Linked DNA regions of Arabidopsis thaliana. The protein of the gene in region 3 purifies or fractionates together with the protein of the main gene of each other region. This does not show direct contact. Each region holds a gene or a part of one and is shown on either strand. Other genes may lie near its edges. The genes, in order: ATP3, MPPBETA, SRT2 and AT5G19760.

What was found.
Region 1: the proteins of SRT2 (region 3) and ATP3 purify together in Arabidopsis thaliana (affinity purification with mass spectrometry, with the first as the bait; one study listed by BioGRID). This does not show direct contact.
Region 2: the proteins of SRT2 (region 3) and MPPBETA purify together in Arabidopsis thaliana (affinity purification with mass spectrometry, with the first as the bait; one study listed by BioGRID). This does not show direct contact.
Region 4: the proteins of SRT2 (region 3) and AT5G19760 purify together in Arabidopsis thaliana (affinity purification with mass spectrometry, with the first as the bait; one study listed by BioGRID). This does not show direct contact.

Annotation. Positions count from the first base shown.
Region 1 is NC_003071.7:14,016,476-14,024,133, forward strand, and holds ATP3 (gamma subunit of Mt ATP synthase), read right to left. Parts: upstream 4,711-7,658; 5' UTR 4,573-4,710; coding exon 4,475-4,572; intron 4,074-4,474; coding exon 4,030-4,073; intron 3,919-4,029; coding exon 3,766-3,918; intron 3,567-3,765; coding exon 3,453-3,566; intron 3,371-3,452; coding exon 3,243-3,370; intron 3,132-3,242; coding exon 3,009-3,131; intron 2,910-3,008; coding exon 2,790-2,909; intron 2,701-2,789; coding exon 2,503-2,700; 3' UTR 2,135-2,502; downstream 1-2,134. Other genes in the region: RLP24 (receptor like protein 24), read right to left, coding at 1-41; RLP25 (receptor like protein 25), read right to left, coding at 1,209-1,865; RLP26 (receptor like protein 26), read left to right, coding at 5,395-7,658.
Region 2 is NC_003074.8:362,619-370,782, reverse strand, and holds MPPBETA (Insulinase (Peptidase family M16) protein), read right to left. Parts: upstream 5,235-8,164; 5' UTR 5,160-5,234; coding exon 4,488-5,159; intron 3,996-4,487; coding exon 3,831-3,995; intron 3,741-3,830; coding exon 3,603-3,740; intron 3,524-3,602; coding exon 3,372-3,523; intron 3,280-3,371; coding exon 3,171-3,279; intron 3,045-3,170; coding exon 2,946-3,044; intron 2,781-2,945; coding exon 2,715-2,780; intron 2,564-2,714; coding exon 2,452-2,563; intron 2,344-2,451; coding exon 2,249-2,343; 3' UTR 1,944-2,248; downstream 1-1,943. Other genes in the region: AT3G02100 (UDP-Glycosyltransferase superfamily protein), read left to right, coding at 299-821, 974-1,397, 1,496-1,943; AT3G02080 (Ribosomal protein S19e family protein), read left to right, coding at 5,622-5,705, 6,109-6,199, 6,285-6,468, 6,573-6,645; AT3G02070 (Cysteine proteinases superfamily protein), read right to left, coding at 7,651-7,697, 7,781-7,837, 7,954-8,038. UniProt on the Arabidopsis thaliana protein: Catalytic subunit of the essential mitochondrial processing protease (MPP), which cleaves the mitochondrial sequence off newly imported precursors proteins. Preferentially, cleaves after an arginine at position P2.
Region 3 is NC_003076.8:2,868,396-2,875,876, reverse strand, and holds SRT2 (sirtuin 2), read right to left. Parts: upstream 4,470-7,481; 5' UTR 4,319-4,469; coding exon 4,317-4,318; exon of another isoform or gene 4,230-4,316; coding exon 4,186-4,229; intron 4,059-4,185; coding exon 3,821-4,058; intron 3,739-3,820; coding exon 3,673-3,738; intron 3,573-3,672; coding exon 3,527-3,572; coding exon of another isoform or gene 3,516-3,526; intron 3,418-3,515; coding exon 3,257-3,417; intron 3,181-3,256; coding exon 3,051-3,180; intron 2,972-3,050; coding exon 2,807-2,971; intron 2,734-2,806; coding exon 2,606-2,733; coding exon of another isoform or gene 2,602-2,605; exon of another isoform or gene 2,534-2,601; coding exon 2,434-2,533; intron 2,315-2,433; coding exon 2,264-2,314; 3' UTR 2,098-2,263; downstream 1-2,097. Other genes in the region: KIWI (ssDNA-binding transcriptional regulator), read left to right, coding at 273-391; AT5G09240 (ssDNA-binding transcriptional regulator), read left to right, coding at 1,097-1,228, 1,342-1,453, 1,812-1,984; AT5G09225 (uncharacterized protein), read left to right, coding at 5,498-5,620, 6,238-6,321; AAP2 (amino acid permease 2), read right to left, coding at 7,014-7,481. UniProt on the Arabidopsis thaliana protein: NAD-dependent protein deacylase. Catalyzes the NAD-dependent hydrolysis of acyl groups from lysine residues.
Region 4 is NC_003076.8:6,677,240-6,684,960, forward strand, and holds AT5G19760 (Mitochondrial substrate carrier family protein), read right to left. Parts: upstream 4,816-7,721; 5' UTR 4,607-4,815; coding exon 4,490-4,606; intron 4,086-4,489; coding exon 4,002-4,085; intron 3,757-4,001; coding exon 3,695-3,756; intron 3,591-3,694; coding exon 3,229-3,590; intron 2,722-3,228; coding exon 2,507-2,721; intron 2,409-2,506; coding exon 2,352-2,408; 3' UTR 2,067-2,351; downstream 1-2,066. Other genes in the region: AT5G19750 (Peroxisomal membrane 22 kDa (Mpv17/PMP22) family protein), read left to right, coding at 1-234, 439-526, 803-897, 1,053-1,125, 1,216-1,308, 1,419-1,505, 1,808-1,888; TUA3 (tubulin alpha-3), read right to left, coding at 5,522-5,837, 5,929-6,437, 6,549-6,748, 6,826-7,040, 7,123-7,235. UniProt on the Arabidopsis thaliana protein: Catalyzes the transport of dicarboxylates, such as oxoglutarate, oxaloacetate, malate, and succinate, and of tricarboxylates, such as citrate, isocitrate, cis-aconitate, and trans-aconitate by a counter-exchange mechanism across the inner mitochondrial membrane.

The DNA.
Region 1 (7,658 bases), on a different chromosome or scaffold from region 3:
AGAAAATGCAAAAGCAGAAGCGATTTAAACACGGTCTTCATGATGAGAACTATTTTAGGAAAATTAAATGATTATGGTTTAAGGAAAGTGAGAGAGAAGATTGGTATAAATAAACGGTATGTGGTTTTGCTTTGGAGCTACAAGTTGACTTAGAAGAAGTTAGAGCTAAGTGAAGTCTTTGAGTGGGAAATGAATCATAAAGTCTGAATACCAAATGCATGTGCATGTCACTATTTTTTGTCCAACGCATGGGACATGTTTTCTTGGAGTCAAAAGGTCCGAAATCAAATCCTAAACGACAAGGACGTCGTGGAAAATGTGTTATCTACTCTGACGAATAAGAGGAAATATTTATTCTAAACAAACCCAATTATGAACAGATCACAAAGAGTTTATGTCTATTAGTAGTACATTCTCCTGGTCTGAACATAATTTCGTTAACGTTGAAATATTTGATTAGAGGAATATATATGTGCCTAGGGTCTAGGGACCAGGTTCAGTGTGTGGAAAACGAGATTGACTAGTTTTTTTTTTTGTCGGAACTTAAGAATCCAAAAAGAAAGAAGAAGAAGAAGAAGAATTGTCTAGTCTAAAAAAACTGAATCTAGCGACGAACACACGTAGTTTTCAATCCATTTGAACTTAGAGTGTGAACGAAATCAAAAATTTACTTGGGATCCAAGAAAACACAGAAAAGGGAACATCTATCTTTTTCTTGTTTTTTTTTTACGCTCCGTATGATCTCACCGCCACACTTCAGTCTCAGTCTCGGTCCCTCTCTCTCATGCATTTTATTCATTAGGAAACAGATCTCATATGTTGCTCTGTTTCTCCCTCTCGTCTCCTTCCTCTGTTTCTTTATTTTTTTGTTTACAAAATAGAGAAGCTTGTTTTTAGGGGAAAAAGTTACTTTTACACGGAAATAGAATCCAATGATGAAAATAACAAGAACGGATTTCCTCCTGTGGGATAACAATAACAAGAGTTTGGATTTTCTACTTTTTATTGTCAGAGACCAAAAAATCCATAACGTGATTCCCGTTCCCGGCCTCTAGTATTTTTCTCTTCCAAGATACAGAGGAAAGCTGAATGAAGCATAGAGAACCTGCTTCACCACAAGACCAAGGAATACTTGACAAACATTCAAATATCATACGCAAAACAAGTAACAATTTGACATACATTCAAAAATCAAACACTAACAAATCTTAATGGTTTCTACGCTTATTAGGACCAATTATCTTGACGAGCCACTCCGGTTTGTATGAAGCAATGATTTGCGCTATTGCCAATCCAAAAAAAACTCCAGGTCCATACCCTGTTGCCACTGCTTTCCAGTTCAACACTTTTGCATCCTCTTGGTTGTCTTCTTTCTTTGACTGTTGTATTGGTGGCACTTTCGTTCCGAAGCAACTTTCTTCGAGAGGAAGACCACAAAGCCCTGCATTCCCTTCAAATGAGGATTTTGGTGGCCCAGTGATTTGTGTTCCTTGTGGTATTTCACCCTTGAGTTGGTTATGGGACACATTTATGTACCCCAAAAACGAGAGGGTCTTGAGTCCTTGAGGAATAGTCCCAGATAGTCCGTTTCTAGACATGTCTAATGATTCAAGCTCAATAAGATTGGCCATAGACATGGGAATATTACCTATGAAAGCGTTGTTTGATAAGTTGAGTGCAATCAGTGCCTTCAAGAGACCAATGGATTCAGGAATCTGTCCTTCAAGTCTGTTTCCGGAAAAATCAATAGCGCTGTATAAAGTAAGAATCCTCTTTTGCTCCATGTGTAGACCTTTGTATCTTAAATCTATAAAATCTTGATAGGTATAAGAAATGCTACCGTAAGCATTCTTAGTGTATATCATATATAAACCCCCTTCTTGATTTTAGCGTGAGTGATGATGCTTTCCAATTCTCATAATAATTTGGTGGCAAGCCTCCGGTAAATTTATTACCAGATATCTCAAATATCCGCAGCTCTGGATACCCTAGTGGACCTCGATCAAGAGGAGATATTGAGCCATAAAATTTGTTTCACATGATTGGATTCACATCAGTTTAAACTTTCTAACATCAGATTGTTTATACATAATTCCAAAATTCTAGAAATCCACTAGCATGACAACATACACTGCATTGGATATATTGTTTAGATTTGTTTGTGGGATTATTCAAAGTTTCAAACTTCAAAACCTGGCGAAGTGACAAAATATTGGCTCAGGTAAAAAAATATCAAATAAACCGGAGTACATGGTGTTTGCACAAAACAACACTACAGACTCTGGAGGAAGCGAGTCTGAATCAGAACAAAATGTTAATGCAATTATTCGAAATCCTGCTGGAAATTACAGGTATGTTTATTAAAAATCGTTGAGCAAACATTGGTAGGTCTCAACAAGAAGCCAGCAAAGGAAACTGATTCAGTAAAATTTTAACACACTCTTCTCCTTCAAGGTGGGGGTAAATATCAAAGCGAAGAAAAGAGAACTAACACGGATGGGCTTATTTAGCAGCTTCAAGAGCAGAAGCTCCAGAGATAATCTCAATAAGCTCTGTTGTAATAGAAGCTTGACGAGTCCTGTTGTATGTGAGGGTGAGACGGTCGAGCATTTCTCCTGCGTTTCTGCTTGAGCTGTCCATGGCAGACATTCTTGCTCCCATCTCACTACATGCATTCTCCAGAACCGCATTGAACATCACCTAGTAGAATTTACGTAAACAACCAAAATGTTATGTTTCTTTCTATGCTGAAATACCATAAATCAAGTTAAACTTTCTTGGTTACTTACACAAGAGAATTGGAACTCGGCCAGATTCTGCAATATTTCTCCCTTTGTTTCCCCACCTTCAATCTCATATGAGTCAAGCTCGCCAAGTTTTCCTCCAATTTCAGACTCCTTCTCAATAATCTTTCAATGCAAAACACACACATATACAATCAAGTTTATACTTAAAGCAGAATGTGAAATATTAAGCACAAATTGAGACGTTCAACAGTTATGACTTACCTCAGGTGACAAAACAGTGGACACAGTTGGCAGAAATGCGACAACTGAATGGAACTTGTTGTAGACAATGCGCAAAGCATCAAATTCAACGTTCTTCAGGATGTCATCAGCTAGAACTGACACCTGAAGCAGCAAGTAAACATAAGAAACACTATAGACAACAATAAATAGCTCGAGAACAAATGGATCGGGGAGAGAAACTATTGCTCCTAACTATTAGCAACTAAGAACTACCTGAGCATAATTGAGTGGGTTCTTATTCAGCTCTGTTACAGAGAGGACAATGTCGTTCTTTGAGTCACGAAACATTATAGCCTTTGCTTTCTCTCCGACAATAACAAACTGAACTTCCTTTTCAGGACCTGCAATGATATAAGAATTAATATCGGATATGCAATTCAGGAAAACTAAACCACGGAACCATCGTAGTGTTTTCAAACATACCAGCATTCAATTTGTACAGAGCCCTGCTCACTTTAACGACAGTGGAGTTGATTCCACCACAGAGACCCTTGTCAGAAGAGAGAGTGACCACCACACTCTTCTTTACATCAATGCCTGGTTTTTCCATCAAGTAACGCTAGAAATCAGAAACACATCCACAATAACAACAAGAGATAGCAAGAGGATGGATATCTCAGACTATAGTAAGAGCAACAGATTTGTTCGTCGTCATCAATATTCAATACCGATGCAAGCCCGGAGTGATACTAGAACAAAGTTATTAAGAAAAACAACTCTATATAGCCAACCATACTGGGATTATCTCCTAGAAGTGCAGTAAATGGCTGCCAAAGTCCACGGGAGTTCTCAGCTCGGCCTTGAACTGCTCTAAGCTTGGAAGCAGCAACCATCTTCATTGCCTTTGTGATCTTTTGGATGTTCTTAACACTCTTCATGCGGTTACGCACTGCACAGAGAATACATGTAAAGCAATTCATAAAGATTAGAACATCACAGATTTCTTAGAACACAATCCTAACTAGGTAAAACCAATCTCCAATTATCAGCTTTGACTTACCCACTTGAGTTGAGATAGATCGAACTCCAAGAAGTCCTTCCTCCCTACAAATCAAATACAAGTTTAGTCCTCATCATCCTAAATATCACAAAGTTTTGCAGGTAAAAGCTGATTAAATCTGACGAGCTTAGACAACATATCACAAAGTCTCTTCTACGAGGAAAATCAAATTGGTCTTGCAATAGGAAATTCAACGAAACGAGCTTAACAGGACATTTCCGAGTCTCAAAACTCCAAATAGACGAACAAAAACACCTCACTCATTAGCAGCTCCCGAGTCAAACAACACAATTTCCATAAATTTTCGTCGATTCGAATTTCAAGGAAATGAAAACATCAACGACTCAATTAAATCAAACGATTTCAAATTCAGAAAAGCATCACAGAGGAACAGCGAAATGTGTGTTTATACGCAAGGATAAGATGAATGAGAAAGAGATCTCACTGGTCAGAAGAGAGAGGAGATCGGATAGCAGCGATTGGGCGAGCGGCGATTGAAGGGAGGAGACGCCTCCCTTCGCGACGGAAAACAGCCATTGCCATTGATTAAAGGATTGATCGGTAAACAACAAAACCTAGCTCCGGCGAAATTTCTCAGATCGGATTATAGAGAGAGATTCGAGAGAGATGACTGCAATGGGCAAAATCAAGGGCTTCTTTATTTCTCAGTCTACACAGTAGTTTTGTCACGACGTCGTTTCCACTTTATTACCAAAATTTCCCCTGAAATTAATCGGGCCGAATAGAGGCTAATACTATTACTTTTTCGGCCCATCTTATAAGGCCCAAAGGTATCTCCTCAGATTATCAATCACGTCGTCATACACGTCTTGTTTCCTTTTACATTTTTGAGTTTTGACCATGACTTCTTCTTTCTCCAATCTATAACCAAATTAATGCGAGTTGTTTCATAACGCAACATACTCATAATAAATGAAAATTAAAAAAATATCAAGAGAAGGTAACATTTCACCAACCTATTAATTATTGAAAGGCCCACTTAATTTATTTTTCTGTATCTGTAAACAATAAGATACTATTAAACAGAATTGTCATCATCGTTACGTCATATTAATGTGCGTTCATTTGATCCAATGAGAGTAAATTGCTGAGTGTTGATTTCCTCTTGTTGCTAAATTTTGAAGCCAATTTTAACAGTCAACTATAACTCCCAGTTATATAGTCAGAGATGTCCACGTGGAATTTACTTCATGAACAAATGTGACTCGTAGACATTTCACGTGACATTTAAACCCCACATATTTAGTAAAGGCGGCTTAAAATAACATATATATAGCAAATCTTTGATATGTCTTTTTTTGGGTTCAATAATTTCCTCAACTTGTTGGTTCAATCACAAACACCATGCGTTTGCATTTTTGCTCGCTACTCTTACTCTACTGTATCGTCTTCGTTTCAAGCTTCTTGACGACCGACGCTCTTGCTTGTCTTCCTGACCAGATCCAAGCTCTAATCCAATTCAAGAATGAGTTTGAATCTGACGGCTGCAACCGCAGTGACTACTTAAACGGAGTCCAGTGTGATAACACGACTGGTGCGGTCACGAAGCTTCAGCTCCCAAGTGGTTGCTTCACTGGAACTCTCAAACCAAACAGTAGTCTCTTTGAGTTGCATCAGCTTCGTTACCTTAATCTCTCTCACAACAACTTCACTTCCTCTTCACTCCCTTCTGAATTCAGCAATCTCACCAGATTAGAGGTTTTGTCTCTTGCCTCTAGTAGCTTTACTGGTCAAGTTCCTTCCTCAATTAGTAACCTTATCTTGCTTACCCATTTAAACCTTTCCCATAATGAGCTCACTGGTAGTTTCCCACCTGTAAGAAACCTAACAAAGCTTTCCTTTTTAGACCTTTCTTACAATCAATTCTCAGGAGCCATACCTTTTGATTTACTACCCACTTTGCCTTTCTTGTCTTATCTTGATCTGAAAAAGAATCATCTCACTGGTTCTATTGATGTCCCAAACTCTTCTTCTTCATCTAAGCTAGTTCGTTTGTCCCTTGGGTTTAACCAATTTGAAGGAAAAATCATAGAGCCTATCTCAAAGCTCATAAACCTCAACCATCTTGAACTTGCTTCCCTAAACATAAGTCACCCAATTGACTTACGCGTCTTCGCTCCTCTCAAATCTTTGTTGGTCTTTGATATTCGTCAAAATAGGTTATTACCAGCCAGTTTAAGTTCAGATTCAGAGTTTCCATTGAGCTTAATAAGCTTGATTTTGATCCAGTGCGACATTATCGAGTTTCCAAACATCTTTAAGACCCTTCAAAACTTGGAGCATATAGACATTTCCAACAATCTAATCAAAGGGAAAGTACCTGAGTGGTTTTGGAAGCTTCCTCGTCTTAGCATAGCAAATCTTGTTAACAATTCTTTGACTGGTTTCGAAGGTTCTTCAGAAGTTTTACTTAACTCATCAGTGCAGTTACTAGATTTTGCCTATAACTCCATGACAGGAGCGTTTCCTACTCCACCACTCGGTTCGATCTACTTGTCTGCGTGGAACAATAGTTTCACAGGGAACATACCTCTCTCAATCTGCAACCGAAGCTCTCTCATCGTCCTTGATCTATCCTACAACAAATTCACCGGTCCAATTCCTCAATGTCTGAGTAACTTAAAAGTAGTAAACCTCAGGAAGAACAGCTTGGAAGGAAGTATACCTGACGAGTTCCATAGCGGTGCTAAGACACAGACGCTTGACGTTGGCTATAATCGACTAACCGGGAAGCTTCCAAAATCACTTTTGAATTGCTCCTCTCTGAGGTTTCTGAGTGTTGACAACAACAGAATTGAAGACACGTTTCCTTTCTGGCTGAAGGCGCTACCCAATTTGCATGTCTTGACTCTCCGTTCAAACAGATTCTTCGGCCATCTCTCTCCTCCTGATCGAGGTCCTCTCGCGTTTCCCGAGCTGCGGATACTTGAATTGTCAGATAACAGCTTTACTGGAAGCTTGCCACCAAATTTCTTTGTTAACTGGAAAGCATCATCACCCAAGATAAATGAAGATGGGCGTATTTATATGGGAGACTACAAGAATGCTTATTATATCTATGAAGATACAATGGATTTGCAATACAAAGGTCTATTCATGGAGCAGGGGAAAGTCCTTACTTTCTACAGCACCATTGATTTCTCTGGAAACAAACTTGAAGGACAGATTCCTGAGTCTATTGGTCTGTTGAAGGAATTGATAGCGCTCAACTTATCGAACAACGCCTTCACTGGCCATATTCCTATGTCTTTGGCAAATGTTACGGAGCTCGAGTCACTAGACCTGTCAAGAAATCAACTATCAGGGAATATTCCAAGAGAACTCGGGAGCCTCTCATTTCTGGCGTACATAAGTGTAGCTCATAACCAACTCAAAGGTGAAATACCACAGGGACCACAGTTTAGTGGGCAAGCTGAATCATCATTTGAAGGGAATGTAGGTCTCTGTGGTCTTCCTCTCCAAGGAAGTTGCGTTGCGCCACCAACAAAATATCCCAAGGAAGAAGACGAAGAAGAAGAAGAGGACGAAGTGATTGAGTGGAAAGCAGTGTTTTTCGGGTATTGGCCTGGACTGTTACTTGGATTGGTAATGGCACACGTTATTGCTTC
Region 2 (8,164 bases), on a different chromosome or scaffold from region 3:
TATTTAATTATTTAGCCTATAATTGTTTTACGTTTACATTCTCCTAAGTCCTGAAGGCCTTCATCAATTTGTTTCCCATATTCACATGAGAAAATGCTAGTTTGGTGTGTCATTAACTAAGCTCATTTGCTCTCTTGTTATACACAAGTCAAACTTGGGATCAAACTTGTCTTGATTCCTAAAGAAAAACGACAAAATCAATTAGAATTAGTTGTCGAGTCATTCCGTCTTAATCTTGTAAATTTTCCTATAAATGAATGAATTTTTATGTATATATAGACAATAACTCAAAATACATATGGATAATAACTCAAATAAAAGAATGGGAAGGCCACATGTTGTGGTCATACCTTACCCTGCACAAGGTCATGTTCTTCCTCTAATAAGTTTCTCACGTTACCTTGCGAAACAAGGAATCCAAATTACATTCATAAACACCGAGTTTAACCATAACCGCATCATCAGTTCCTTACCCAATTCACCTCATGAAGATTATGTTGGGGATCAGATCAATCTTGTTTCAATCCCTGACGGTTTAGAAGATTCACCAGAAGAGAGGAACATTCCAGGGAAGTTGTCGGAGTCTGTTTTGCGTTTTATGCCTAAAAAAGTAGAGGAATTGATCGAGAGGATGATGGCAGAAACTAGCGGTGGTACGATCATTAGCTGCGTTGTAGCGGATCAGAGCTTGGGATGGGCAATTGAAGTTGCAGCTAAGTTTGGGATCAGACGCACCGCGTTTTGTCCTGCTGCAGCTGCGTCTATGGTTCTTGGATTTAGTATTCAAAAACTTATCGATGATGGTCTCATAGATTCTGATGGTAAGAACAAATATAACCTTTTGTTTCAAAATTTAATAGTATCATATTAAGTGATGTTTTTGGAAAATGGTCATGTTTTATTTTATTTGATGATTCATTGGTAGAAGAATTTTGAAAAAGATGCGTTATATAGCTATTGTTTCTTTATGTAGGGACTGTGAGAGTAAATAAGACAATTCAACTATCTCCCGGGATGCCAAAGATGGAAACAGACAAGTTTGTGTGGGTTTGTCTGAAGAACAAAGAATCTCAGAAAAACATATTCCAACTTATGCTTCAAAACAATAACTCGATCGAGTCAACGGATTGGTTGTTGTGTAACTCTGTCCATGAACTTGAAACTGCAGCATTTGGATTGGGCCCGAATATAGTACCAATTGGGCCCATTGGTTGGGCTCATAGTCTTGAAGAGGGATCCACGTCACTAGGAAGCTTTTTACCTCATGACCGGGATTGTCTAGATTGGTTGGACCGGCAGATTCCCGGTTCGGTTATATATGTTGCCTTTGGGAGTTTTGGGGTCATGGGCAACCCTCAGTTAGAAGAGCTAGCAATTGGTCTAGAGCTTACCAAGAGGTAATGATTTGGACATAACCGGGTTTGTGTGTTCCGGTTTACCCTACTTACTCTATGCGTGTCTATTATGTAATAAGTTATGTTGATCCATTCACCAGGCCAGTTTTGTGGGTCACTGGTGATCAACAACCAATCAAACTTGGGTCGGATCGAGTCAAAGTGGTGAGATGGGCTCCACAACGGGAGGTCCTTTCTTCTGGAGCCATTGGGTGTTTTGTGAGCCATTGTGGATGGAATTCAACTCTGGAAGGAGCCCAAAATGGCATACCATTTCTATGCATCCCTTATTTTGCAGACCAATTTATCAACAAAGCATATATATGCGATGTGTGGAAGATTGGATTAGGACTTGAAAGAGACGCACGAGGAGTGGTTCCGAGGTTAGAGGTTAAGAAGAAGATCGATGAGATCATGAGAGACGGTGGAGAGTATGAAGAACGAGCTATGAAGGTTAAAGAGATTGTGATGAAAAGTGTTGCAAAAGATGGAATATCTTGTGAGAATCTTAATAAATTTGTCAACTGGATCAAATCACAAGTGAATTGATAGAGTTTCACAAGAAGAAATGAAATGTATCCAATTCAAGTTTTCAACCAAACATCAAAGAACTTATTAGTATGTGTATGGGAAAATTATGAAGAGAACAAAAAAAACACACACAGAGGATCTCTAGCATTTTTCCAGTAGAGGACAAAGAGTAAATGGTACACTTATTTTACCAGCGATGATGGTAAATTATGAAGATACAGTAAGAAAAACTCAAAAATAATGAATCCATCATCACCTCGTTCTGCTCTCTCCGCCTACGGAATCTCCCCGTGGGCGAACCTTGCGATTCAGTGACCTTTATTTCAGAGCCTTAGTACCGGTTCCAGTAGGTTCTGCGTCTGAATTTGTTGTAGTCTGGCAAATCTTGGATTGGACCAATAGCTGAGATTGCAATGTCCTGCACATAATCCCAAAAATCACCTTAATCACTCTTGACGTTTGTACTCTTGTTTAGCAGTCTAATCCTTGGAGGATAGAGAGAGCAAGAGGGAGAGAGAAATAGAACTTACTTTGTCATAGATATATTTGTTGGCAACACGTTTTACCGTGCTGGCATCAACAGCATCGATCCTAGCAAAGAGTTCAGCGGTTGGGATTCTACGCCCATAGGTCAGCAGCTGCATTTAGAACAAAAATCCAGGCGTTTTATTAGAATGATTTTGAAGATAAACACCAACTATAAGGAAAGTCAAGGTTTGTTATCTTTGACCAATGCATTTATAAACTTATAAGTTCTAAATTAAGATGCTTAAATGATTCATCGCATACCTGACGACCAATATCTTCAGCAATTGGGCTGGTTCCATCCATGTGAAGTAACAATGATGATTTCAGCTGCAGAGAAATTTAAAATCAGTTGGCATTTAAAATCTATCTACAAATAAGTAAGGAGTTCGAAGAAACAGGAGGAAAAGAAAAAAAAAACTTTAAACAGATCACATTTGTAACTAGCTTAAAGCTGAATCTTGGGAAAGAGAGAAAGAACAGTTGGGCGTTTACCTGATTTCGTGCACGTGTCACATCAGCGTCTGAAACTCGGTAGGCCAGCTTGGTTACCTCATACATAATGGCATATGATAAATCATCCAAGCAATCGGCCTGAAAAAAGTACCTTACAAGATGTTAAAAGAGATATAATACGAGGCATTCATGAGATGAAACTGCTAATATTGACAAATACAAGAAAGAGATGAAACTAAGATAGCTATGGAGTTCTGGGTTGACCTTGGCAACTGCATAAACGCCGAACAGTCCAGTATCCTTGTAGTTAGTGTTGAATGCCATTATGCTTTCTGCTATTTCATTAATGGCAACCCTCTGGGTCAGGTCAGAACTGCACATAGAACCATAATGTTCATCAACACATTGCGAAATAGCTTTTCATTAAATCCATCATTAGAAATATTAGCCAGAGAGTAAACTCACCCCACGTGTTTTCCACCACCAACATTTTTGTTCCACGAACCCAACATAGTTTGCATAACCATAAGAGCAACGGAATCTGGATCAGTCCAAGATGCTCCCTCAAAGGCAACAGCAAATTGTGCAAGGGGTAGGTCGTCATCAATCATTCGGACCTGAGAAGAATTTCACGGACTAAAGAATTTAGAAAGATGGAACATTGCATATAACAAAATCATATGGTTGTGTCCTTACCTCAGAACCAGTAAAACTAGCAGGTTCATTGGCAACCAGTTGAGAAGTAGTTGTTGGATCAGACGACAACTTGGTAAATAGCTTCTTCACTTGCTCAACAACTTCCTCATGCTTAACAGCTCCTGCAGCAGCAATCACCTGAAAATGTTTTGGATGAACCAAGATAAGAATCCTAAAAAATTCAATAAGTGATTGTAGGAAATGATAAGAAGTAACCAAAATCTATACCATCCTGGAAGCAGTGTAGTGAGTCTTAATGTAGTTCTGTAGATCCTCTCTGGTGATCGATTTGACGTTCTGAGCAGGTCCCAAAATAGTTCTTCCAAGGGGTGTGTATTGGAATGCAGTGGCATGTAAATGGTCAAGAACCACTTCATCGGTTTGTCCCTCCACCTACGACCAAACCAATTATCAAAAAACTAAAGCTTAATGTGTATTCTATCTTTAACTGATTAAAGAAACAAATAACTCTAACCAACACGTAGAGCAGAGTACCAAGCGCTCTAGTATCTCCCTTCATGCACATTTCCCAACAACAATACGACCAACATATGACTAAGCCAATAAAACCAAAACATGCGAGAGATAATCCAAAAACAGAACAAAGTTTTCATTTTTAGAGCAATGGTTTATATAAACACAATAACATCTCTCTATAGAACATGTGCTTATGCCAATACAACCTTAAAAAAAGGGAAGATAACTTAAGAACATACTAAAGTTTTCATTTTTAGGCAGGCACACGGGAAACTGAAACTAAGGGTATTGATCTAAAAAAACACAAACTACGGTCCATAGTACCACCTCACTAAAAAAAAACGAAAGATAAATCGAGGACAGAACAAAAAGTTTAGTTTTTTAAGTACAGAGATAACAAATACATACCTCTTGCATTTCCCTGAGGATGACATCTCGTTCGCGGTTAATTCTCTGTTCCTCGAACTTAGAATTCTGTAGGATATCAGCCAAGACATCCAAAGCCTGGTTCACATTGGAATCCAAAACCTTAGCATAATAAGTGGTCTGTTCCCTCGATGTATACGCGTTCAGGTGACCACCAATATCTTCGATCTCTTCCTCCAACGCTCTCACTGTACGCCTATCCGTGCCTTTGAATATCATATGCTCCAAAAAATGAGCCGTTCCGTTGGTCTCATCGGACTCAAACCGAGATCCAGCGTCGATCCAGACTCCAACGGTGGCGGTCTTAGCCGAGAGATTTGACTCAGTAGCGACTCGTAGACCATTGGGCAAGGTAGTGACACGAGTCTCCGGAGCTGACAAGATGTGATTGTGGGAAGCGAGGATCGGATGTGGAGATGCGTATTTAAGGAACCTCTTATCAGGATTCTCGAGCTTCTTGATCTTATTTTTTATAATCTCAGCCGCGTGGTCGTATGGCATAAGATGCGGCGGCGGTGGAGATAGAGCCGTCGGAGATGCGGAAGCCGGCACCGAATCGATAGCTGAAAACGAAGAGGAAGATCGTGTGGCTTGAGTGAGGAATAAACGCCTCTGAGATCGGCGAGCTAGGGACAGTAGATTCTTCATCGCCATGGCTGATGATGGCTTCTCTTCGCTCTCTCAATCTCTCTAGGGTTTGATTAAAAAGCCAAAAATGGCAGAGACGACTTGAGATGCGAACTAATAGCCAGTGGTTAAGCGATTATAAAACGACGTCATTTAATGTTACTAATTAAGAACGGTGTCGTTTAGGACATAATACTAGTCAACTGATATAATAAGGCCGTAGTAGGCGCATTATCGTATCAAAGAACATTATTCATACTGGTTAGATAGTAAGGCCGTATGAAGAATTAGGCCCATTAGTGTGGGCTGAGAACGGGTTGGATTTTTTGACCCGGATATGGGGAGAAAACCCTAATCGAAATATCGTGGCCGTATATATAAGTTTTGTTATTGGAGAATAAAAACCCTAGTCTTTGCGGAGAGAGATTCAGCTGCGTTGGGCAAAATCCCAGACGAAGATCAGTGATTAGTCTTTTGATAACTTGAGCCATGGCAACTGGTAAAACTGTGAAAGACGTCTCGCCTCATGACTTCGTCAAGGCTTATGCTTCTCATCTCAAGCGATCTGGCAAGGTTAGTGGATAAAGTCTCTTCTTTTTTGTTTGAGTAGAAATGTTCCAAGCTTTATTTGTATGTACTCGAATAAAGATGGATTAAGCTCAAATTGCAATGATTTCCATTAGTTCATAGATATTTCTGTTGATTGTTGGCATTTCTCTATAATACTTTGAATTGTGTAATGTCTGTTGAATGTATTGAAATTTTGTATATGTTGCTAATATTTATTGAATCACAAGTGTTACTCTTAGTATTTGTTAATAGACAGCTTAAGATTCAAATGCTTGGGATTAATATTGTGATTTGCTTTGTTACGTCTGTTGAATTAATTTACACTAGCAATTACAATAGCTTGAATGTCAAGCTCCACTTTTTACAATTGTTTTGGTTTTCACGAGACCATAATTGTTTGTTTCAGATCGAGCTTCCCACATGGACAGACATTGTGAAGACCGGAAAGTTGAAGGAGCTTGCACCATATGATCCTGATTGGTACTACATCAGAGCTGGTTAGTTCTCTTTCATCCTAGTTTGTCTCTTATTATCTCTATGCGTTTATAAAGTTTTCAATTAGCAAAATGACTTCTTGTGCAGCATCTATGGCAAGGAAGGTTTACCTGAGGGGAGGACTTGGTGTTGGTGCTTTCCGTAGAATCTATGGTGGAAGCAAGAGGAACGGTAGTCGCCCACCTCACTTTTGCAAAAGCAGTGGTGGTATTGCCCGTCACATCCTCCAACAGCTGGAGACAATGAACATTGTTGAGCTCGACACCAAAGGGTAACATTACTACTACTACTACTACTACTACTACTACGTTAGAGGTGTTTCTCTTTAAAAATGTTTTTATGCTAATACTAGTATCACTTTTGTTCTTCTTTCAGAGGAAGAAGGATCACTTCCAGTGGCCAAAGGGATTTGGACCAGGTTGCTGGCCGTATTGCAGTTGAACCTTGAAGATCTTAATGTTCTTTTTTGTTCTTCTTCTACTTTTGAGGCCATTGTGCTTTTAGTGTTTATCTTTACTTTTAAGAATTGTTACCATTTCATTCTCAAGACTTGCGCTCATAATGTTCAAAAATTTATCTTTTTGGCGATGGCTTTGGACATTGAAACTTATGTCTTCAACCGTATTTTTGTGTTCGTCCGATTTAAGGATAATAGGATATGGTTTCTTCATCCCTAAATTGCTAATTTCATCCTTCTTTAGTGCCACTAATCTCACTTTTATGCTTCACTTTTAACCGAAATTTCTTTGAGAGAAGAGAAGCAAAGATTAGATATCTTCATCACATTATATTCTTTGTTGTATTCTCTCCATTCATAGGCAAAGAGATGTCATCTTTCTTCAATATCATAGCTAGCTTTTGGTTTCCTTAGAGATAGCCTCGACCTTTCTTATTCCAAACTAGCAATGATGCTCTCTGTTGCTCTCGGCGGAAGATGTAGCCAGTCCCAACGTACATTGGACTTTGAAGTAGTCCATCCAAAACTCTCATGAATCATGATACTAACATGAAAGTAGACAGTGTTGTAGTTCGTATAACGACATGGTCTGCGGGAGATAAACAGTTCATCTTTCAAATGCACAAGAAGAAATTTCGAAGGACAAAAGGACAAAACTGAATCTTATATGGATAATATGATTTTGGACTGGATAATTCATGGAAATCCAGGTTTCATACCAACCAAAAACTTCCCTTATTGCTTCTGATAAGCTTTAAAAAGGGCCCATCAAATTCAAGAGATTCTCCACTAAGGTTATGGAAACTGTCATATTTTCTTTGTCTCGGTCCGACTATATCATATTCGGCTTTAAAATGTTACAGCTCAAGCGAGTTCGTAAGTAGTATACAGAGGTGTAAAGGAAGAGTTTTCGCGTATGAGACGGTAGACTTATCACAAACTGACTGAAAAATAGTTGAAGGGTCTTAATATAATACATGTATGGTGGCGTGCCTTCTAGAACAACCAATGTTTTCTCTTTGGCTTATGCTGAACTGGAGCAGCTACACTCAAAAAGGAAGATCATAATCAGTGTCATCAAGCACAAAGCCACCATTTCGTTACATTTCCAAAGGACAAAACAAACCTTGAATATCGTATAAAGAGTTATAATGCACCTCTGACCAGAAACTTAACCATAACACTGCACAATAGCAAACATAAAGAGTCACAACTTGTAAAACTGTATTTGTCAGATGTCACTTCATATCAAAAAGCGATATGCGAAAGTGAAAGGAAACTTTTTTTTTGTAGTCTCACCACCCTTAGGTGCTTGGTATTGAGGTATAATTTCAATGAAACAAGTGTCTCTAAAGGATGTCAGCAAGCATATCTTTGCTGCAAACTGCACAAAGGGAGATGCAAAGGAAATTTTGTTAGAAAAGAAAGGAAAATTACTGGCTATTTCTCATAAGCACTAGTCCTAGTCTGTATGTGGTTAAGTTACATGGCCTCTCAGGAAATGTGAAGT
Region 3 (7,481 bases):
TGTTTTGCTTTGTTAAGTTTCTGCATTTAGTCAGGTTTATAGAATTGCATATCTTAGGGTTTTATAATAGGCAATTCTGCTTATTGAGACTGTTTATGGACTTGTAAGTATGAGCGGAGATGGTGCAGAGTGTTTGCTTTTGTACAACAACGTTTTGTTTATTTTGGTGCTATTGCTCCTTCATGTCTTTCTCTAGAGACAGCTATATTAGTTTATCTCTACATAACTAATCATGTTGACAAGATTATCTCTATGTTTGTTATACGTTGCAGGTATCTCTCTAAGCGTGGATCAGGTACTCACATCTCTTTCTATCTCTCTCCACTGTTTTATGTCTCCTAGAAGTGTTTCTGTTTTCTTGTTATTTGCTTATTACACAGCTTTTCCTTAATGCAGTGGAACACTCTTCGGAACCACGCAGAGGATATCGAGAAGGCCCTCTCTGACCTTTCTTAGGTTTTAAAACTTGTATCATTGGTTGTACGTCTATTAGAATATGGCTCAGTTGTTTTGGTTGTTTTTGTAGAACAACACCATGTTCTGCTAGTGTAAGCTGCTTCAAATTAGTTGGTGTATGGAATCTTTCACTTTTGGTTCAGACAAGCTTTGGTTGGTATTAAGAATATAATGATTGCTCTTTTATTTACTGCTGTAGTGCTGTTTTATTTGCAAATTAAGATACGTTGCAGGAATACAAGTATTCATTTGATAAGTTATAAACAAGATAGGTCTAAATGTTACATAGCTCTTGCCAAACTTCACTTGATCCGGACAAGGCCATAAGCAGACATTGTCTTTGAAGATGAACCCATCACAATAAATGTATCACTCTGTGTTGCTACTTTCATTGCTATAGTTGCTCTTTTCCAAAGAATATTTACCTTCCCAAAAAACTCCCCCGTTTTAAGTTTGGCCGCGCGTGTTCTCAAACTGTGCGCTTGTAAAATGGCGTTCCGAATCTGATATCACAGTTGTAATTCGGTGAACGCAGTAGATATATTACGCGAGAAAAGGAGAGAGGTGCTTTTTATTTAACTTGAGAATCTCAAGAGTCAATTTTTGCAGTAGAAGAGTGTTTTTTTTAGAGGTTAAGAAAATGTCTGAGAACGGAAAAAGGAAAGACGAGGATGTCAGAGCATCAGACGACCGCGACGAATCTGAGACCCACGCGCCGCCTAAGAAAGTGGCAAAGCCAGCGGACGAGATTGAGGACATCTTCATCTGCAATGTTAGTCTCTCTACTATTCATCTCTTTTTTGTCTGTAGCAGTTCGTATGAGTTTTAGGGTTTGGATCAAGTTGTGATATTTGTTTATGATGTTATGTTTTGTTTACATTCCAGTTAGATAAGAATCGGAGAGTCTTTGTGAGGAATTGCAATGGGAGGATTTGGATTGCCATTCGTCAGTTCTTTGTCAAGGACGGTATAACTTTACCTTGTAATAGCAAGCAAGGTAAATTTTTGTTTTTAACTACATATCTTCTTTTGACTGTCTCTCTTCTTCTCACAATTCCACATTTGCTAATACTCTGTATCCTCCTCTCTTTTCTTTTTTATGGTCAACAATGTATCCTCATCCCTTTGTTTTCATGTTTTGTTTCGTTAAGGTTCTGCATTTAGTTAGCAGATCTTAGGGACTTTTATTATATATCTAGTACTTCTGCGGTTTGGGACTGAGAGGAGGAGATGCGCAGAGTGTTTTCTTTTCATCAACAACGTCTTGGTTTTTGTCTCCTAGGGCCAGCTATATTAGTTTGCTTTCTTTGCATAATCATGTTGACAAGATTTTCGATGTCTCCTATATGTTGCAGGTATCTCTCTAAGCCTGGAACAGGTATTCACATCTCTCTTCCATTGTTTATGTCTTCCACACGTGCATATGTCCTGCTTATTACACGAGACCTTTTTCTTAATGCAGTGGAACGATCTTCGGAACCATGAGGAGGATATCGATAAGGCCCTCTCTGAGCTTTCTGAGGTTTAAAAGCTTGTGTAATCGGGTATTGGAAGGTGGCTTTGGTTGTTTTGGTTTGTTTTTCAGAACAACACCATGTTCTGCAAGTGTTAGCTGCTTCGAGTTAGTTCATGTGTTGAATCTATTATTTGATGTTGATTACTCTTTTATTTGATGTTGGATTTACAACTTGAGATACGTTGCAGGAATACAAGCATTCATTTTGATTAGTTATAAATAATATATATAGGTGATCTAAATGATAACATAGCTCTTGCCAAAGTTTACTTAAATGATCCGGACATTGTGCTAGAGAGCTGGGACACTGAGCGATCCCACGTCAAGAACTCTGTGCAATATCTGCAGCAAACCAATCACGAAATGACAAATTATTAAGGCTGACAATCATGAAATAATATGGATATTTAAGGCATTTTCAAGGCTGAAGGAAAGGGAAGAGCTTTATGCTATGCTCATACCTCACCAACCCTAGCATTGATTTTCAATGGAACAATGTCATCAGCTCTTGTTTCGCCTATATTTACAATTGCGGTCATAGCACCAGCCTCATGAGCCGCTCTGCAAAAGGTATATAGAAAGCTTCTTAGTAAGATGCAAACTCAAAACTGGATGATTATTCTCCTGCATCACCTGCAAAGGCGAAAAGCAGACATTGTCATTAAGGATGAACCCAACACGAGGAATGCATCGCTCTGTTTTGCAACTTCCATTGCTTGAGTAGCTCTTTCCTTCGGGATGTTGTCTCCAAAGAAAATTACCTTCAATTCAACGAGAACATAATAAGAAACAGAGCTAAACTGATTCGTCTCTATCTGATTAAGTCAATCTTACATCAGGCTTTAGGACTCCTTTGCACTTCTCACATACTGGTATATGAAAACCCTCTTCCCAAAACTTTTCGTCAATCTCGATATCACCATCAGGCCTTTGTTTCATGCCAAAGCTCTTCTCTGATCCTGGATCTCCATGATCAATACTTTCTATAGCTTCAGCCCACTACAGTTGAAACAAAAACGTTGTAACTTTGCGAGATGATACATTAATCCAGTTTATTCAGGTTATGGTATACACTGGCCTTAGGATTGATTGCTTTTAGCTGATCCTGAAACAAGTCTCGGGGAAAAGAGAAGCCGCACTCTAAGCACATAACAGTATATACTGTGCCATGTAATTCAAGTGGATCGCTCCCAGCACGATGATGCAACCTAACAACTTAGAGCTTAGAGTCAACATTCTTCACATCCAACAGAGATCCTACGGAAGAGGAACTGAAGGATATACCTGTCAACATTTTGTGTGATCATAAAATTTATTCGTCCAGCTTTTTCTAGTGATGCTAAAGCAGTATGAGCTGGTCCTGGTTGTGCTGCAGTGAACCTCCTCCATCCAGCGTAACTCCTCGCCCAATACCGCCTACGAGCTCGGCTTGATCGAGTAAACTCCTGTGAAGGAGGTTGTAGACAATAGATTAATACAGTTATACAATAGTAAAATGATCCAAGGTTTGCATTAAGAACTGTAAAGATTTCATAGATCTTGCCTTCAGATCACCTGATGGGTAATTGGTTTGAAACCAGAACTGTATGCTCCATTGGGACTGCACCAAATCATCAAATGGAACCACATGTAACCCATGAGACCATCAAAACGAGAATGCAAGGCATCTTCAGACAAGACTAATCGATCAAATGAATTACCTTCTGTAATCCGGAATTCCACATTCTGTGCTAACCCCAGCTCCAGTCAAGATGGTGAGTCTCGAGCTGCCAAAAGAGAAGAGGAAAGCCATTAGATACAACACATGTATGCTCACTGCTGGAAAAAGATGGTGAAGGAAATATCAACCTTTGCTCAAAAAGTCGATACAACTTGTGGATATCTTCCATATTGGGGGGATCAGCATCTGGAACAATCTTTCTATCCCTCAGAAACCTTGGAGGTGCTTTTGATTCATTCCCCAAAGAACCACCAGGGATCGAAACGCGACACGTTGTTCTCACAAACCGTCTGCATCCTTTAAACAACATAACCAAGTTTCCCCCAGACTGCAGCGGCCGGTACATACTTCGCGACGGAAACAAATCTAGAAGAAGGAAAAGAAGAAAAACTCAGCAACATTATTAACTCATTGCATTTGCATAGGTAAGTAATGAATCAAAACAAGCTAGGACACAAAGATGAGGAAGAACATTCATTATTCTCATACTTGCCTGTAGATACACCTCCAAACACTCTTCTCATGTTCATAGAAAGCCTAATAAATCGCAGAGATGAATCTATGATCACAATTTCACTAGCAAAAAAAAGTAATGGAGAAATGAATCTATGATAAGCCAATTACATTCAATGAAGAAGATCTAGCTAGAAAGTATCGTACTACTGAGATCAAAATAAAGCCACCAATCGAGTTTTTCACCGAGAAGCTAACAGATTGAAATTAATACCCAAGAGCATATATAGTAATAAGATTACCTTGAGAGGTCGTTAATGGCGGATGAAACGAGATTTCTTCAGTTTTGCGTTTTATTTTTTTCCAGAATTTTTTGTTGTTGTTGAAGACAAGGTGGCAAAAATCGGACGTCTGAAACTCATTATTGGCTAAGCAAGTAGCCACGTAGCGCAATTATCCACCGTTGAATAGTTCACTAATGCAAACGACGTCGTTATTGGAATAAAACAGAAACCGCATACGTCGATTTTGTTCTCTCTCTGCGGACGAAGCTCTCTCTCTTTAGCTTCGATCTCTCCCTCGCTTCGATCTCTCTCTCGACTGCTACTCCTGGTTAGTTCTCTGTCAAATATTCGTTCATGTGACTCTCGTCGATTTTTGTCTTGATGCAACTTCATCGCTTTGTTCTTCGCTATTCGTTGTTATTGTTGATTCCGCATATGCTTCCTTTGATTTCAGCTTGTAGGTTTGTCCAAATTTCACTTGCTCTGTTCTTATTGTTGTTGCCAACCAAGTGTTTGATGAAATGCCTCACAGAATCAGTGGTTGTTTTTTTTTTGGTAGAGCTTGTAATCACTTGTGCTTTGTTTATTTTTGGATATGTATGCTGCTTGGAGCCACATTAGATTATTCTTGATTCATTGTTTTTATGAACTCTAGTAGTGTTTTTTAACTGATTCTTAATACCTCTATTATCTTGTGTATGAGAAACAAGTTTATTAACTCGATTCTGTACTTTATTGTTCTTTATGATTCCAAAGATTACTTTTGTTTATATCATTCGATTATTTTCTACTTAATGATGTTTTTCAATTTTCTCTACTACAGGAATGTACATTTGTTGATGGAAGTTTCTTCAGAATTGATTTCAAAATCTCTGGTAAGTCACTTGAAGCAAACTGCAATAATAATGTTGAATGGAAACGTTTACTAGGAAAGGCTTTTACTTTGAATTTGATTATGTTTTGAGAAGATAATAGGATTCAACTGAATCAGTATAGTTAATGGTAGTAGTAATTGAGATATATGGACTAAATAATTACAGAGCTGAAGATTCTTGACTTGGAACAAATATGCCTCACAGAACAAGGCCGTTGAAGGGACTCTTGCTTTTCACTGGAATAAACTTTGTGTTGGTGCAGACCATTACTCCAGTCTATGACTTTGTCTGCTTCTTGCCTTACTGGGAGAGAAGGGTATGTTTTAGATTTTAAACTCTCAAGACTATAATATCAATTTCTGTTTTCGTTATTGTTCCAATGTCTCCAAGTGTGTACTTTAACTTGGAGACAAATACAATGATCACTTCCTGTTTTCATTATGTTTCTGTATCTCCCAAGTGTGTAGATTAACTCATCTGGTTCATGATCATGGTAACTAATTCTGATGCTTTGCTAGGGCAATTTAGCTTACATTTCTTTAAGGGCTCGAACCTCTTTTGTTCTGTGGTTAAATAGGTAGCTATATTGGTTCTCTTCTCGCTTAGATTTTAGATACAAACTAGTTATATTACTAAATACTGAGACTGTTAGCTAACTATTCAGATGATGGAGTCTGTTGTTTCTCAGAAAAATGTCATACAAGTTGCTTGGAGCTAACTATCTTGGCACAGTAGGTTATTTGCATAGGTAGCATGACGTATGCTCTCAGTTTCGACATTGTAAACTAACAAATTGGATCATGTTGCATTACCAAGCACGAAATAACTCTACTGTTATTTTTATTTTTTTCCCTCCGTTTCCTGGCGTCTTGTGTCATTACTGACTAACTTTAGTTTTGTTTGTTTCTCTGTTGTTACATTGAATCTCTACAGAGAGAGCGAATCCGGCAGGAGCGTGAAGCCGCAGCTGCATCCTTAAACTCAACACAAAAAGCTACTCAAGCATCTGTTGGATGATGAACTCTTCTCTACATCTTCTCAGTCTCTTAAATCAGAATTCCTCTTTGTAAGAAACTAGTTACCCTCTGATTACTGAATATCTGAGAAGGCATGTTCACATTTCTGCTCTGAGCTTAGATTCATTGTAGCAAATCTTGAAAGTTTCTGTGGATTTTTCAAACACGTGTTATTAATCGTAGATACTTTCAAAGATTCTGATCATTGCCAAGATCCATGAACCCTACATGTTTTTGATAAGTGAGATAGACTATTAGAAAAAGGAACAACATTATATTATTTTCTTGAAATAGGCTTTTTTGGGTGGACAGCTAAATTATACTTATTTGAGGAGATTCTCTTTCATGCTAAACCATCCAAATTGCTCCTTTATAAATCAAATCATTGAAATGTCAGTGTCTCACTTTGATTCAAATTCCATTTTACCATCACCATGTATATGTCGACACCTAACTCATTCATAATAATCACTTGAACAAGAAACAACCAACACTACAAAGTACAAACTACTATAATTTGATATAGAATTGAAAACACACGGTTTTATAATTTATAACATAAGTTTTAAATTTTATTACAAAGATGAGACCATACGAAATGAGAACAACATACAATATACACATTTTTGGAGTTTTCTTTGAAATGGTAAACTTTACACACCAACTCTCTCTGTTGTTCATGGTCCATAATCATCAATATGTAGACTTGAATGGCTTATAGACCTTAAGATCAAGCATCACTCCGGCGATTGATCCAACCCCGGCGACCACCGAGATCACAAGACAAGCAACACTAAGCATCTGTAAACACACCCATCTCGTGCTCCATTTCTCAACCTTCCTCTGCTTAATATACATCTCCACCGGAAAATAAACCGTCAAGGGCCAAAACCCTAACGCCCCTAAGATCCCGACCACGTCGTTAAAAAACGGCATCAGCATCGATATCACGGTGGTTGTAACGACAAAGCCACTCCTGTAAACCATCCTGAAAACGTTTACTTTGTAAGGAGACTTAAATCCGGGGATTCTGATTTCAAATTCCTTGCTGAGGAAGTCATTGTCTGGATATCTCTCTGCGACTGATTTTTCAATAAAGGCAAAGATGGGCTGAGCAAAGACTTGGTAAGCTCCAACGAGGTGGACAACAATGGCGGCGTT
Region 4 (7,721 bases), 3.8 Mb from region 3:
CAAGGCTCTTTCGTTTGGGTACAAAAATGTTGGTTCACTGAAGTGTGGTCGGAGCAATTGGCCGGGGCGTTCTGGGACTGCGTTTGGGCATCTAGTCCGGGTCTCTGCGGTCCCAGGTGGGAATTCAGGTGGCTCTGGCGGGTTAGGTGGTTCAGGCGGTGGTGGTGGTGGTTCCGGCGGCGGTGGTGGTGATGGAAGCGACGGAAAAGGAAAGAAGTGGTCACTTCTCTCATGGTAATTTTTCTTACTTGCTCCTGTCACTACTCCTGTTCTTGTGTAAAGATGTTTCTTTGAAAAGCAATTCATTGAAGCAGATGTTGGAAATTTTTCTTGGATGTGTTAATAATTTACTCACGGAACACTTTTTTTCTAGTATGATTCTTTGCTTTTGACTTGAGCATAAACACACTTTGTGTGCCTTTTTCTATGGTGCTTCAGGTACCAGGCTCTTCTCTCAAACTCTCCTGTTTTGACCAAAGCTGTGACCGCAGCACTTTTGAACCTCGTTGGAGATTTGATCTGTCAGGTAACTCTCTCATTTTTGTGCTATCTTTGAAGTTTGGATTCTTCACTATTCAGGATATATCGAGATAAAACAGTATTCATGAGCTGCTGCATTATGTATTTCTGAACAGACAGACTTTAACTTGAATTGTGCTATCTCTTTTTTAAAGTTAGAATGGAAGCTAATAGACCCAAAATACAGGATAATGTAGTAAAGCCCCATTTTCTTTATAATGCTTGATCGTATTCTGCTAGATATGTGAGCGACATTGCTTATTCGTATCACTTTTGGTTGCAGCTTACTATCAACAAGACCTCATCGCTGGACAAGAAGAGGACACTCACCTTTACCTTCTTGGGCTTAGGGCTAGTCGGTCCAACATTGCATTTCTGGTATTTCCGTGGACCTTTCACTCGTATGACACCGCAAAAGCTAACTATATTACGTCTCTGCTAGTGGTTCTTCAGTTGAAGAGACTTATGCATCCATTGGTATATTACTTATGCTTATTCTCTGTTCTCTGAAATCTCTCAACTCCATCCATTAGGTATTTGTATTTGAGCAAAGTGGTGACAGCTTCTGGATTATCAGGCGCAGTTATACGACTTCTACTGGATCAGGTAGCAAAGTTTCCTGTTCCCAGTCTAACAATTATGTTCCCATCTTGCTTCCTCTGTGTTAGCACTTAACACCAAAATTTGTATTTGCAGTTTGTTTTTGCTCCTATTTTTGTTGGAGTTTTCTTATCAGCAGTTGTGACACTTGAAGGAAAACCATCAAATGTCATACCGAAGCTACAACAGGTTGGATTAAAACCTAACTAAACTTAATATTTCCGGTGCAGGAATCTAAATTTGATACTTTGTATCTTTTGCGGTGTTCTAATTGAATCCATGAATTGCTGGTTGTATAGGAGTGGACTGGTGCAATGATAGCAAATTGGCAGCTATGGATACCATTTCAGTTTCTTAACTTCAGATTTGTTCCACAGAACTACCAGGTTTGATACTAAACTCTGTGACTACATGAAACGGGAGTCTGAAAAAAAATACAATTGGGTTAAGATAGATATGCTTCATACATAACGAATAACGACCCACACGCTGTTAATCCTCTGCTTAGTATAATCTTTGAGAATTTATTACGCATTTTCATGTTTTTGAGCCCTTGTTAAAAACATCTTTGACATGATGAGCTTGAGATGAATTACGCTTGAATGACATTAGCTTCTAGCTAGTATGCTTAGCAAGATTTTCTTTGGCTTTGAGGATGAATCGATGTCTTATATATGAATTATTGCAGGTACTTGCTTCAAACGTAGTGGCTTTGGCTTGGAATGTGATTTTATCATTCAAAGCTCACAAAGAAGTTGTTGCAAAGTAGACATGTTTCTTACCTGGAGCCTAGAGGTGGTTGCTGGATTGTTATCGGCAGAGTTTTGGGGAAACGGTCTTGTCTGCTGATGCAAATGTTTGGTGTTTCGAAACAATTATTTGGGAACCCTGCACTTGACATTTTCTTAGAGTTGAAACAAGCTTTTCTTCAAGCACTTCAAATATTTCCCCATCATCAATGTTTCATATATTTATTGTTTCCTCATTCAGAGAATTTTTTTAGTTCGTATGAAAATTTTGAAATCTCTGGCTATGTGTCTTAAACTTCCACCAAAGAAGAAAATTTAAAATTCACCGGACCAATCACCGACCGAAACAAAAAATTAAAGTTCAAACAGCTACAATAATATGCTTTTAAGGCAGGTTATGTATATGATTAAAAAGCAAATGAACACAATTCCAATTGTGTTTTCGTTCTTCTCATCTTATTTTTTTGCTGCTGTATTTGTTCCTCACATACCAATCTTCTTTTGAAATTTCGTAATCTGGTTTAGGAAGATCCATGTCATCTGCCAAAAGAAAACCCGATCAACAACTATCTTAGAGGCAATCACGAAGTGGTAATTACAATAACATAAACAAAAAAGGGAGATAAGAGCTATTATACCATGACGTGAGGGGCAATCCTGACACAGTAAACTGGGAAACCCGAGTAAAATTTCAGAGGTCCTCCTTCTTTTAAGGTTTTCATCGCACAATCGAGCGAACCTGTGTATGGATACTTTCCTTGAGCATCCGGTTGCATTTTCTGAATCTGAGTTTTGACAAAGTCAAATGGCAGACTGCAAGCCGCAGCGCAGAACCCAGAAACAGCACTTGCTCCTGTTAAAGTAAACAAAAACCAAACTCAGAGATCTATTTTAACTACAATTTATCATACAGAGATTACATGACCATATGAAAATACTGATAAAGGTTTCTTGTTAAGTCTAGTGCAGAACTAGTGTAACAAGCCTAGGAAGTTGAGAAAAGTGTAGTTTTGCCAACTGAGCGACCTTACAATTAGTAGCTCTTAAAAGGGAGTAAGGACAACGCAATGGGATCCATTCTGGATTGGTCTTAGATCTGGGTTTGGGCAACGGTTGAGAGTTTAGAGAGTCCTCTCATTAATAAAGTATTTTCCTTGGTGTAGTTCTTGGATAGATTGTATTAAGTGAAATACACATTTAATTTATGACAATCTAACACTCGTGTAATCAGGAGATTATATGCTACAAATGTAAATTTCCAAGACGATTGATTCTTAGGATCCTTGACTCTAACTGCTATCTACCTGCTCACAGAAAAAATATATTCTTACTGTATGAGAAACTTGGAAGAGCAGCTTACCTACGACCGTAGACATCTCCCCGAAACCAAGATTATCTCTCATGTATTCAGCACTTTGATCATAAGATGCAAGCATTCCCATGTTCAAAGCCATAGCTCTGACCACAGTGGGCCCACACCCTTTCCAAAGTGCTAAAACTCCCTCATCAGCGCTAATACGGGTAAGCGCATGGAAAGCATTGGTATAATTCCTGCGCTGAGCTAGCGGCAAAGTATTATCGGCCTGCATTCTGATAAGTGCTAGATCGGCTGGACTACCGACGCAAGCACCAATAGCACCAGCTGTCAGACCACATAGTGCCTTCTGATACAGCGGTAGAGGCTTTCCATCATTAGACTCAATTGCCTTTGCAGTCAGCAACCTAATAAGATTGACAGAAGAGAGGATGATTTATCCATAACCATAAGGCAATAAAAATCTATTCATCTGGATGGGCTCAAGACGAAAGACGAATGACTAACTTACTTGAATGATCCAAGACGGGCTGTCGTGTAAGTTGCTTGCCTCAGCAACCCAGCAGATAATCCCTATTAAAAAAAATTAACATCAAATAAGCTCAGGAGACATCTTCAATGGGGTATAACTAATGTTGTTGTTGGAAAGACTGTTAGATAAGGAAATTAATTCTTTGAATAGCTGAGACTCAGATCCGGAAATGCAGAAATCATATACATTACAAATCAACAAAAGTCATGAACATATCAATAGAAAACATACTACACAAAACGTACATCTTCAAGATAAGTAATGCATCCAGAAATGCAATTTATACCTTGTAGAAGGCACCAACGCCCTCATTCTTAAGCATGTTGGTGGTTATACTGGCTGCAGATCCCTGACCAAGTTGAATCCTCACCTTCACCAACCAGAAACAAAACAAAGTATTAGTTAATTACATTCACATCATTTAAAAATCCTATGAACACAGGCGAAGAATCACACATTGTGATGAACCTAAGAACGTTATTCTAATCAAAATCCAGATCTGAACTAGAACATTTCATCTAAACATGTATCAATAGCAACAATTCACACTCAAACGAGTCTGACTATGTTCCGAGCAATGAAATTTGATTATAATAAGCCAAAACAAAAACTCAGATCTGAGAGATAAAATCTACAGACTCGGATCTGATGAACAACATTTACGGATTTCGTAGGTATCAATACCAGCAAATCAAGCAAGAATTGTTAATACTAACGAGCTTAGACATAGAGATGGGTGATACAGAAACGTGTATCCGTAAACATTTGACAGACCTTAATCATGTCGATCGGCTGGATAACGCAAGTAGCGAGCATACCAGAGGCACCGCCATTGACGAAGGGCTTCACGGTAGTCCAGACACTGATTGGAGCTTTCTTCTCTTCCGCCATCTCTCTCTTTTCTTTTGTTTTCGTACGGACTCAAACGCAACCAGAAGAAGAGATTCCTTCCGCGGAGAAAAAGAGAGAGAGAAAGAGATTCACTTGGTGGAGAGGAGACGATGAAGTGTGAAGCTTATGGGCCTTTTATATTAACACCACCCAACTGAAACTAAATTGCACCAAACCCTTGCCTTTTTAATTTTTATTTTTTTCCATTTGCATATGAGATCTGATCTAAGCCAGACATATTTTCTAAATTTATTAATTTGGACTTTACTTTTCACCATTCGGATTTTACGCAATCCAAATATTTAGAGTTATTTATTACGCATTCATATGAATTTTAGATTTGACATTCGTCCATTTCTAATTTTCTAGTATGAAGTTGAAAATCGTTAGTATTCTGAATTTTTTGGGTCCAATAAATTCTAATTTTTTAAAAAAATTGATCTTCTGTATTTGTATTTTGTATTTGTTCAATAATTTTTGGCATTTTTCACGCCGTATTTTAGATAGTGGACCAGTGGAGCAGTATTTCTGATGCAATTTGATAATTCTGATGCCCTTTTGTGAAGATCAACGTGGTTTGTTAACATTAGTTGAATCTCATAAATGTATTATTAGCTGATACGACAACAAAGCATATACAGAACGTTGATAAACGTTAGCGCACCGATAGACGAGATTATACTTCAAGGAAAAATGGACAGTTGTAAGAAGATTATCAAAGTTTGGTACAACAAAAGCTTGATAATGAACTCGGGAACTCGCAATGGTCGCTCTACCAATGAAAATGTATCCAACCGAGATAAAACACGAAGACCGAACGAATATTTTACAGGATTTAAACAATCAACAGAATCAAAAGTGAAAACAGATAAACGAAAAAACTTTTTTTGGTTGCAGTTTTTTTGAGAAAAGGTGTCAATAGTCTTCACCTTCATCTTCTTCATCGTCTCCACCTTCAGCACCAACTTCTTCGTAATCTTTCTCCAGTGCGGCCAAGTCTTCACGTGCCTCAGAGAATTCACCTTCCTCCATTCCTTCACCAACGTACCAGTGGACAAATGCCCTCTTCGCATACATGAGATCAAACTTGTGGTCGATCCGTGAGAACACCTCTGCAACTGCTGTGTTGTTACTGATCATACATACAGCTCTCTGAACCTTAGCGAGGTCACCACCTGGAACAACTGTTGGAGGTTGGTAGTTGATTCCACATTTGAACCCAGTTGGGCACCTGCAAAACAAAACCCATGCCAAAGGAGTTATTATATAATAACAACATGAAGGTAGAAACAGTAGCAGCTTTATCCATTTCTAGATCATACCAGTCAACAAACTGAACAGTCCTCTTTGTCTTGATGGTGCCAACAGCAGCATTAACATCTTTGGGAACAACATCTCCTCGGTACATCAAACAACAGGCCATGTACTTTCCGTGTCTCGGGTCACACTTTGCCATCATGCTAGCTGGCTCAAAAACGGCATTGGTGATCTCAGGGACTGATAGCTGCTCGTGGTAAGCCTTGGCGGCTGAGATGACTGGTGCATAAGATGACAGCATGAAATGGATACGGGGATATGGGACAAGATTGGTCTGGAACTCAGTGATATCCACGTTGATGGCACCATCAAACCTCAAAGATGTTGTCAAGGATGAAATGATCTGTGATATCAACCTGTTCAAGTTTGTGTAGGTTGGCCTCTCGATATCTAGGGATCTGCGGCAAATGTCATAGATGGCTTCGTTATCCAAGAGGACAGCTACATCCGTATGTTCAAGAAGGGAATGCGTTGAGAGAACACTGTTGTAAGGTTCTACAACAGCAGTAGAAACCTGACATCACAGAGGAATATGCATTAAAACCAAGTTTCATCCAAATTAGACCACTATAGAAACATGTCATGTAAGAGTTTCTACTTCAGTGTCTAGCAAAAGAAAGAGTACCTGAGGAGAAGGGTATATGGTAAAACCAAGCTTAGACTTCTTTCCATAATCTACAGACAAACGCTCTAGCAACAGAGAACCCAATCCAGAACCAGTTCCACCACCAACAGCATTGAACACCAAAAACCCTTGTAAGCCAGTACAGTTGTCGGCAAGTTTCCTCACACGGTCAAGACATAGATCCACAATTTCCTTCCCAACTGCAATTACAAGAAGCATTCTAAGGACCATTTCAAAAACCCTAACAAGTTAGAACAAGCAGAAAGTGGATTCTCACCAGTGTAATGTCCTCTAGCGAAGTTGTTAGCAGCATCTTCTTTCCCAGAAATGAGCTGCTCTGGATGGAAAAGTTGACGGTAAGTACCAGTACGAACTTCGTCGATAACGGTAGGCTCGAGATCAACGAAGACAGCCCTAGGGACATGCTTCCCAGCACCAGTCTCGCTAAAGAAAGTATTGAACGCATCGTGTGCAACACCAACTGTAGTATCACTGCAACAACGCAAAAGACTCGTATCTCAAAAATCTTCCGATCCACAGAAACAGAGTACAAAGAGTGAATTAGGGTTTATACCTCGGCATCATTCCGTCCGGCTGGATTCCATGTTCGAGACAGTAAAGCTCCCAACACGAATTTCCGACCTGGATCCCAGCTTGTCCGATGTGAATGCTTATGATTTCTCGCATCTTCTCTCAGTAGAAACCCTAATTTCGAGCGATTCGCTTCTTCGACGGACGGAGAATTGAGGAAATGAGAGCGGTGAGCGAGATCTTCTTTTTTTCCTAATTTCCATGATTTTTGTGGGAAATTGATTATTTATTGAATGAGATTTGATAATTGGTTGGGGTCCGCCAAGTTGTGACAGCCTGCCTTTGGGACTGGGCATAGACAAAATACGTGAGATTCGATCTGGATCTAGATCTGGAAGGTGTCGATTTTTATCCGGTTTAAATAACTTACCGGAATTTAGGTATTTCGTTAGTATGAGTGAGGTAAATAATAGCTTAACCGACCTAAATCGATATTATAGGTTAAATTAGGGTTTAGTGGTTTAAATAACTATTGGTTATAGTAGGATGTTTTTGTAAGCGCCAAACAGAAAAGAAACGTCATGTAAGGTTGTCTTTGTTATAAGATTTTGATTCTCTTAGTGCATTTATTTATTAATTAAC